Linked DNA regions of Schizosaccharomyces pombe. The protein of the gene in region 1 purifies or fractionates together with the protein of each later gene. This does not show direct contact. Each region holds a gene or a part of one and is shown in the gene's direction. Other genes may lie near its edges.

Region 1 (3,629 bases):
CCCCAATGTATGTTTATATATATATATAGTTACTTTCAAGTCATTCATTCAAAAAATAAATATACTAATGGTGTCTTTCCAGGTTCAACTATGTACAGCAACACATCCCTTGGATTTTAAAGCAAGGAACTCCGGAATTGAATTTGGTTTACCAATTAACGTATGCGTTAGTCCAGTTATTGAAACATCTTACAACTAACAAACAAAATTTTATCAAGATTCAGGACAATGTTTGGATTGGTATGGGAGTTATAGTTCTCCCAGGTGTTACTATCGGGGAAGGCAGTGTAATTGGAGCGGGTGCTGTTGTTACAAAAGACATCCCACCTAATACGTTGGCTGTAGGATCACCTGCCAAACCTATTCGTAAAATTGAAAACGAGTGAACGAGTGTAATTTTTTTTTTTATTATTTCATCTAACGATTAAATGCTCTTTGAACTTCTTAAGTTCACCTGGCTTGGTTCCTAAATTTTTAAAATAGTATAAATAATATTATATTATGTTTGAGCTTTAAATTGTTATATAGAAGACTTAGAATGCTAAAAGAAATCCATTTCTCACTCGCCAAGTAGGATCAGTTTCCTCCTATGACTTGCTAAAGCCCCCACGTGGTACTGCAATCGATTTTAATTCTAATGCTTAGCCAAGTCTAAAATAGTTGAAATTCTTAGTGGGATAAGAACTCTTAACCCCCACGATATATTTGAATGCTAAATAACCTAACCTAAAACCATTTTACACATTTTATTACTAACTTCATTATATTCTTGTAGAGGAACCATCCCATTCACCAGTTCTGAAGTCTCGACAACGAAAATTCATAAAATATGGCGCCTGCAGAACTTAAACGACCTGATTTAATCGTTCCCTACAAAGCTAGAGTCAAAGCAAATGAAGAAGGTAAAGTAGAAAGCACTTTCAAATTGAACCCAATCGTGAGTTACGCTGATTTAATCGCTCAAGCTTTAGTTCATTGTGGAATATTTTAAATCCTTTCTTTCGTCAAATAATTTATTAAGTTTGCTAACCCTATTATAGTTGGCTTGAGTTTGGTAAGCACAGCCACGTGTATGGCTGCTTTATTTCTTCGTTTCAAGTATGTAAGATATTTTAGGATTTTCATGTTAACGAGAAGATTAATTGCATGGGTTGCTTTTATCCTAACCTTTTCAAATTTACTGAACGCAAATACGTCTCCCAGCTCATCTCCGACTTCAATGGCTTTGTAAGTAATCCTAATTCATTGCATTAATGTAGTTCTATGGATGTTAACATTTGATCAGTATGGGTATCGCGGCTCTTGTGTCAACATATTTACCGGTAAGTTGAATTTTTATATTTACTTTGTCGATTAACTTGTGCAGCAATTTTTAAATACTCCAAACAAAACTTAGTAATTTTTAAGTCAGTGAATTAATAAGAGTATTAAGCTGATTTTTTTCTGGATAATTAAATTTATGCACAATGTAAATATCTAATGGTGAAGAGTTCAGATACATTTCTAACTACCATTTCAATCACGTAGCAGACGCGTAAAAAATTGGCTGTTTGTGTTTTCTCATTGTTAAGCTAGTGAAAATGTAAATTTATTTCTTACATCCTGTTGCTCTTTCATTTTTTCTTCCTAATGTATTTTAGTTGCTTTTTTAAACCCAATGAGAACAAAGGCTTAAAGTAAATATATATAATTTTCACATGTTCAACAGTTTACCGTTAACAAATGCACGGACCTTGATTATGATTAATGGTTGAATGAAAAATATCAACTTTCCTTATCTTTAACTATAATTTAAATGAAGTAGTAGTTCATTAATACTAAAGCAGACTTGCATTGCAAATGCTGAACATTACTAAAAGGTTGGTCTAGTTATAAGGTAACTGAGCGTGCACTTTATTATTTTAACGTGTTGGGTGCGCCCCATTAATAATGAAATACTGCATATGAGTGAATGGTCCTACTATTGTTCCCTGCCCTTCTCCAACAACGCAAATCGGATATCCTAACTCGGTGTAATTCCAAGGCGATATCGATATTTGTGCAACTTTTTTTTAAAGTTATCACAAATAGAAGAGAGGTTGCTATAAAAATGTCAACGACCGCAAGAAGACGTCTCATGCGAGATTTTAAGGTACGGCAGTTGTGGATCCGAGAAGACTTATATTAACCAATTCTTAGAGGATGCAGCAAGATCCTCCTGCTGGAGTTTCAGCTTCCCCTGTCTCTGACAATGTAATGCTTTGGTAAGTGTTTACCTATGTCAATTCATTTTTCTCTTATTGTTATGCAACGTAATGGTGAATATATGTGCTATATATTGAATGCCTTTTTTGCCATATATTTAGGAAGGAGATCGTTTCAAAATTCTTACAAGAAGCGATCTTTTTATGCTTGTTGGTTTCTGGATTGATTGCTTTTGTTTTTTATTATTGATGTTGGACTAACCATTTGAGCAGGAATGCTGTTATCATTGGCCCAGCAGACACTCCATTTGAAGATGGAACTTTTAAGTTGGTTCTTTCTTTTGATGAACAATATCCTAATAAACCTCCTCTTGTAAAATTCGTCTCCACAATGGTATGCTTAGTCATTGTATTTAGACAAGTCTTAAATTAGATTATTTGATTTGTTGTAATTTACTTTTTTCTTGGTTTTTTTTGTTTACTTACTTATTGGCTTTAGTTCCATCCAAATGTGTACGCAAATGGCGAACTTTGCTTGGACATTCTGCAAAACAGGTGGTCTCCAACTTACGATGTGGCAGCAATTCTTACCTCTATTCAAAGGTTTGCTTTTCAGAAATATTACTTAAATTTCTCATAACTAACTTTTAGCTTACTTAATGATCCAAATAATGCGTCCCCTGCAAATGCCGAAGCTGCTCAGCTGCATCGTGAAAACAAGAAGGAGTATGTGCGTCGAGTACGAAAAACTGTAGAAGACTCCTGGGAAAGTTGATTTCAAGACATAGCTGTCTTAATAATCCCTATTTCATTAGAACTTACTCTTCTTTTTCAACCGCCTTTCACATTAAATCTATTTAAGTGCTTCAAAGTTGCCAAAATTGTAACTATAGTAAATCATTAAGATTTTTTTGTTTACATCTACGAATGAATGATTTCTTCCTTATGTTTAGAACTTGTAAACTATATTAATGTGCGACTAATCACATATACAGACATGTACATGCAAAATTTATATTGATCTTATTAAACATAACCTGCCCTAAACCACACAAAAATACCAAACCAAGCGCAAAAACTCCATTTTTTTAAATACATATGGTCAATTTTTTTAAGTAAACCTCAACGGCTGTTCCCAAAATAATGATTAACGACGTTTCAAATTCTTCTTTCTTTTACGATATGACTGGCCAATTTGAACAGGTGAAGCTAATGAGCCATCGTTAACGTCTTCAAAATTAGCACGTCTCTTAGCTCTAGAAGTCAGGTCTAATTTACGATTTGAAAAGTCATCGTCATGGAATTTGCGATCAAGCAATGACCAGTCTTCACCACCATAATCGTGTTTCTTTACACGTTTAGATTTCTTTAAATCTTTCTTCGATAATTTAGGAAGGCGAGTATAATTACTTTCCTCATACTCTATCCTCTCACGCATTTTTTGCA
Region 2 (4,844 bases), on another chromosome or scaffold:
GAGTACTCACACAATGTCTTACCAATAGGTTTTTTAATTTTCAAAGCTTGATTAACACGTGCAGGATTTCTTCTTTCTTCTTGTTTAAACTTTAGTTTTATCTGTCGACGATTACGAGTTGGAAACATATTAGCAATTAAAGCAAAATCAGTTCCCCACTGTGATAGAGCCTGCCATGTCAGTAAATACGAGCGCAATTCCTCCATACCTTATAAAATTTTTCAGTATCCATAGCGTTCCATTTCTCAGGTTTCTGCCTATTTCCCCAAGTAGCACTTGTAACCCGACGACTTAAAGAATTTTCTTCAACGTATTCGCGTTCCTCTGCTGGTACAAAATCACGTTCATGACGGTCGACTTCTAGTGAGGTTTCATCCAGAACAATTTGGCCATTAACAACTCGCGTACGAGGAGTTGCAGAGTAATTGGAGTTGTTATTCAAACCATCAACTTCCATTTTATCTGCTAACTGATCAAGAATAGACTTTGTTGGGTGAGAGAGACTATCTTCGAGAGAAGCAGACTCATCCGTACCCTCTTCTTCCAAACTTCCTACTATTTCTTCTTTCTCTTTCGGTTCGCTTGATTCTAGAAGACTGGCACTCAAAGGCTGTTTGATGGTAGAATCTAAAGACGCTTCTCGACTAGAGCTTGCAGTACTTGCTCCTTGTTTTTTAATCCTCTTTGCTCGTTTTTCCTCAAAAAGCATTTTTTCTAATTCGATAAATCGTTGACTTTTGCGGCCAATTCCAGGATCATCACATAAAGCAGACATTTTGGTTTCACTTATGTTAATGATTTTCTCGTCGGTACCCACGTTTTCCAATATCAATTGACTTTTTCTTTTCAAAGAAGATTCTATGATGTTATTAAATAATGCATTTTAGATTAACCCTTTATTTACGTACCTCTATATGAACGGCGAGACTTTTTTGTAGCCGGAGAATCCGCCTTTCCGTCACTAACAGCACTGAGCTGAGAAAGGGGAATGTTCTCATCAAAAAACAAATCTAATTCCTTCATAAATTGCTGTTCGGCTGAAGAGGATAAATCGGTTTCAGGCGACAAATGCTCAATAGCATTTAACGGCTGCTCAAGAACCGTTGGCTTAGAAATTTTAAAAGTAGGATTTGAATGCAAAAGTTTTTCATTTTGTTTCACTGAATCATCTTTTCTATAGGATGAAGCTGTGGGATTTTCAGTTGCCTCTTTGTGAACTACTGTTTGCACAACCGGACTAGAAATATCAGCATTGGCAGTATCACGAGACAGCTGAGCGGATGTTTCTACTTCGTTTCCTGTGAGGGGTTGATTTTTTTCTTCATGAACAACCTCTTTTTGGTCCGATACTTTCTCTCTACGGGCTGTAAATTTAGGGGCAAACCTTGACATTGATTTTTCTGGTAAAACATTAGTGGAAAGCCCTACTACTTAAAAAAACGTACTTGTAGGTGAGGTTAATATTTGCGAGCTCATTGAGTCTGTTTAGACTGTAACTTCGACTCAATTGCATGAATTTCAAAAATTATGTGGCAGTGCGCATATGTTTGTACAAACATTTGCCTGTTGTCCATGAACCAGTAATATTTTAATAAAGAGGTTATATCCTGGGTATAACTGTACAACGAAACCAAGCAAGCCCGTCTGAATAGATTAATATATATGTGTAAAAAGTTTTATAGTCGCAATGATTGAGTAAGATATAAAATTAACTAAAGGTAGAAATAATCAGGGTCAGCCTCGAACAAACTTAGTTATTATAAAACGCTGGAAATGTAAGCTATAGTTTACAGATAAAGCAAGAAAATACTTTACACTAATATGAATAGTAGAATAAATTCAGCAATTTAGATAACCACCGAAGGAATTGAAGAAGCCATTGTCGTTAGCTAATGTTTATTTTGTCATTGCCAATATTAATTATATTATACAAATTACTACTTCGTAGGCGACTTTAAAGACAGGCATAACTAAGGTAAAGAAACATATTATTATAGCGAGGAATCTATTTGACTCACTAACGAGACATGACTACCATGTACAGATAACCTGAAAAAACTCATTAACCGTAGGAATTGGCTTAGTGAATGTTAATGAGCACATATTTTGATCCTAAGTACTTTATTTTAATTATAAAATAGAAAAGGAATTTTTTTGAAGTGGAATGAGCGTTGTGAATGAATCGAGGAAAAGAAGACGTCTTATTCACAGCGAAAAAGAAACGCGTCGTTTAGACCTCGGAGAAGAAGATGACTTAGAGTTATTTCAAAAGGAAGCAGCTTGGCGAAGATCTAGAGAGTATGAGCATCTCACTGTTTTGGAAAAGAAATTATACGAGTATTGGGAATCTCTAGTTTTGAAACTTGATCATTACGTTGCTGCTGCTCTGGAAAATCATGAACAATCATTTGAAGAACTAGAGAAAATCACTGCTTCTTTATATCAACCTGATGATAATTTACAGACACTAGATTTGTCACTTGCTGAGTTCAGTTTAATCAAAGATGCGCAAAACTATTTGAATAAGTATGCTTCCTATTTTCAAGCCCATGAACCTACTCTACAAAAGTTAGCTAAATTTGGTTCTTTTAAATTAAAAGAAACTCCAAACGTCCATGAATGGATAGACCAACGCCAGGTTCATTTTACAAGTATGATTAATTACCGTACTAGCCAACTTAAGTTGGCACTCCTAAAAAGGAAACTTTCCTTCTTTCGTGAAGCTTTGAATTCAGCTGAATTAGAATGGAAACGGGTGCAGCAAGATCAGCTTACTAGTGCTTCCGAAAGAAGTATTGAAAATATCGCTGATGATATCCCTGCTTCGGAACCAAAAGCAATTCTCGAAAATGGGGAAGGATGTTTAAATGATAATGATAATATTTCAAAACTAAAAAACAATTTTCAATCTCAAGCTGATTTGATGCAAGCAAATATAAATTCCAAATTGGATGAACTTTCTCAAAAATCAACTCGTGCAGCACAATTGTACGTCGACATTATGGGTATAACGGATGAAAGAGTGAGTAGAGAGCCCCATTATTTAGAGCTGAAGGGGGTTCTTTCTTCAAATGAAGAGAAAATCGAATCCATTAATCGGGACCTCTCTTCATTGTTTGAGGACATTCAGTTTTTTATTTCTCAACGGACGAAACGACAGAAGGATATTATTGATTTAAAATTGGCATGTGTAAAAGAGAAACAACAACTTATTAAAACCCTTGAATCATCTTTAACCCAAATTCGTAACGAACGAGACTCTCTAGTGGCGAAACAACAAATGCAATATACTAACAATCTATTTTTTGACGATATGATGCTTTTATTAAGCAACTTGTCAAACGCTCGGGTTGCAATTCTAGAAGGTTATTCAAATCGATTGTGCATATGGGATCGTATTGAAAGGTCTAAGACTGGTGAGATGAATAATGTCCTAGATGAAAAAGAAGAAATTTCTGCGTCTTCAGCTTTGGAAAAACTAATAAAAAATAATAGTTGTTTGGAGGCTGAACTCCCAAGTATGTATGCAGCATTTGATCAATCACAATCTCGTTTGTTGAAGAAATATGAAGAACTTGAAACGAAGGAGAAAAAAGCTTTGGAAATGCATTATGAAAAGGCTCGTGCCACCCAAAAATATTTTGCTGCCATGAAAGCTCGGGACATTCTTATGACAGAGAAGAAAACTCTTAAACTGGCCGAAAATAAAGAACATGATTATATAGGGAAGTTGCAAGAGCGAGAACATGCGCTAACAAAATATGAATCCTCTTTAAAAGCTGAATTGGAAGTTTATAAACAAATAAAGGAAATCTACGGGAAACACTCGGTCGAAGTTTTAACAGAAGATAAGCACTTACAAGTTAAGCAAACAAAACTTACTCAAAAACTTGAAGATCTTATAGAGTCTGTTCAAAAATCTGGGGAAAAGCTTATGATCATGCATCAGAAGTTGTTTCATTTGCAAGAAGAGCATACTATTTTATCCATAAAAGCTTCGTATAATAAGAAAGAGTCTCATCTTATAAACCAGGCATATGAAACACAAGAGGCTCAAGTATACAAAGGAATGTTAAAATGCTCCGTGTGCAACTTTTCTAATTGGAAATCTAAACTCATTCCAAACTGTGGTCATGCCTTTTGTTCTAATTGTATGGAACCTTTTTATGAGCATAAAACAAGTACATGTCCGCAGTGTGAAACACCTTTTTCGGTTTCCGACATTTTGACCATTCATCTTTAATTCTAGATCATCTTTTATATGATTAACGTAATGTTTTTGTTATTTTGGTACATAATATATTTTTTGGCATCAATAGTTATTGAAAGAATAGTCAATCCTATATACATATATATATATATATATATATATTTATTTATTTATTTACATATAAATATGTATGCTTTTTTTAATAAAAAACTAGTAATATCTATCAATTTGATTAACTTATTCCATTAAGCAACTTCGTTCATTCATATGCTAGTTTCGCAAGTCTAGCATCATGACTCACTCTCCATTATCCATGTGCCAAAAATAGAGGGTGTGTATCTGTAGCGACTGTAACTAGCGAAATAGGAAACAATTAATTACTATTAATTATTTTTTTAAATATTGGTAAATTAATTTATATTGGCAGCGGAATTATAATAATTCATCTCATTTTCTATTGATACGCGTGCAATCCCATTGAACAATGAGTCTGGCCGAGGATTGGATTGATCCTAATTCTTCTGAAGATTCAGATATTCAAGAAGATGCGGAATTGGAATACACAGCTGATAATCCCGAAAAGGAGCAAAGAGGTGTATTTTCCTTAGAGAAGGTGCAACTGCAGTTCCCTGTT

The links. Proteins that work in one complex are often made in the same cells at the same time.
Region 2: the proteins of rhp6 (region 1) and brl1 purify together in Schizosaccharomyces pombe (affinity purification with mass spectrometry, with the first as the bait; 2 studies listed by BioGRID). This does not show direct contact.

The regions. Positions count from the first base shown.
Region 1 is NC_003424.3:303,634-307,262, forward strand, and holds rhp6 (ubiquitin-conjugating enzyme E2 2), read left to right. Parts: upstream 1-1,972; 5' UTR 1,973-2,089; coding exon 2,090-2,131; exon of another isoform or gene 2,132-2,178; coding exon 2,179-2,243; exon of another isoform or gene 2,244-2,423; intron 2,424-2,456; coding exon 2,457-2,577; intron 2,578-2,682; coding exon 2,683-2,786; intron 2,787-2,834; coding exon 2,835-2,958; 3' UTR 2,959-3,129; downstream 3,130-3,629. Other genes in the region: SPOM_SPAC18B11.09C (serine O-acetyltransferase activity), read left to right, coding at 1-7, 83-160, 219-386; protein pat10, read left to right, coding at 830-902, 1,041-1,098, 1,138-1,227, 1,286-1,322, 1,367-1,396; U3 snoRNP-associated protein Lcp5, read right to left, coding at 3,331-3,629.
Region 2 is NC_003421.2:2,237,811-2,242,654, forward strand, and holds brl1 (histone H2B-K119 ubiquitin ligase complex (HULC) subunit, ubiquitin-protein ligase E3 Brl1), read left to right. Parts: upstream 1-2,036; 5' UTR 2,037-2,164; coding exon 2,165-4,243; 3' UTR 4,244-4,344; downstream 4,345-4,844. Other genes in the region: transcription factor TFIIIB complex subunit Bdp1, read right to left, coding at 23-170, 209-858, 909-1,400, 1,446-1,476; pep3 (ubiquitin-protein ligase E3), read left to right, coding at 4,695-4,844. UniProt on the Schizosaccharomyces pombe protein: E3 ubiquitin-protein ligase which belongs to the histone H2B ubiquitin ligase complex (HULC) which mediates monoubiquitination of histone H2B to form H2BK123ub1.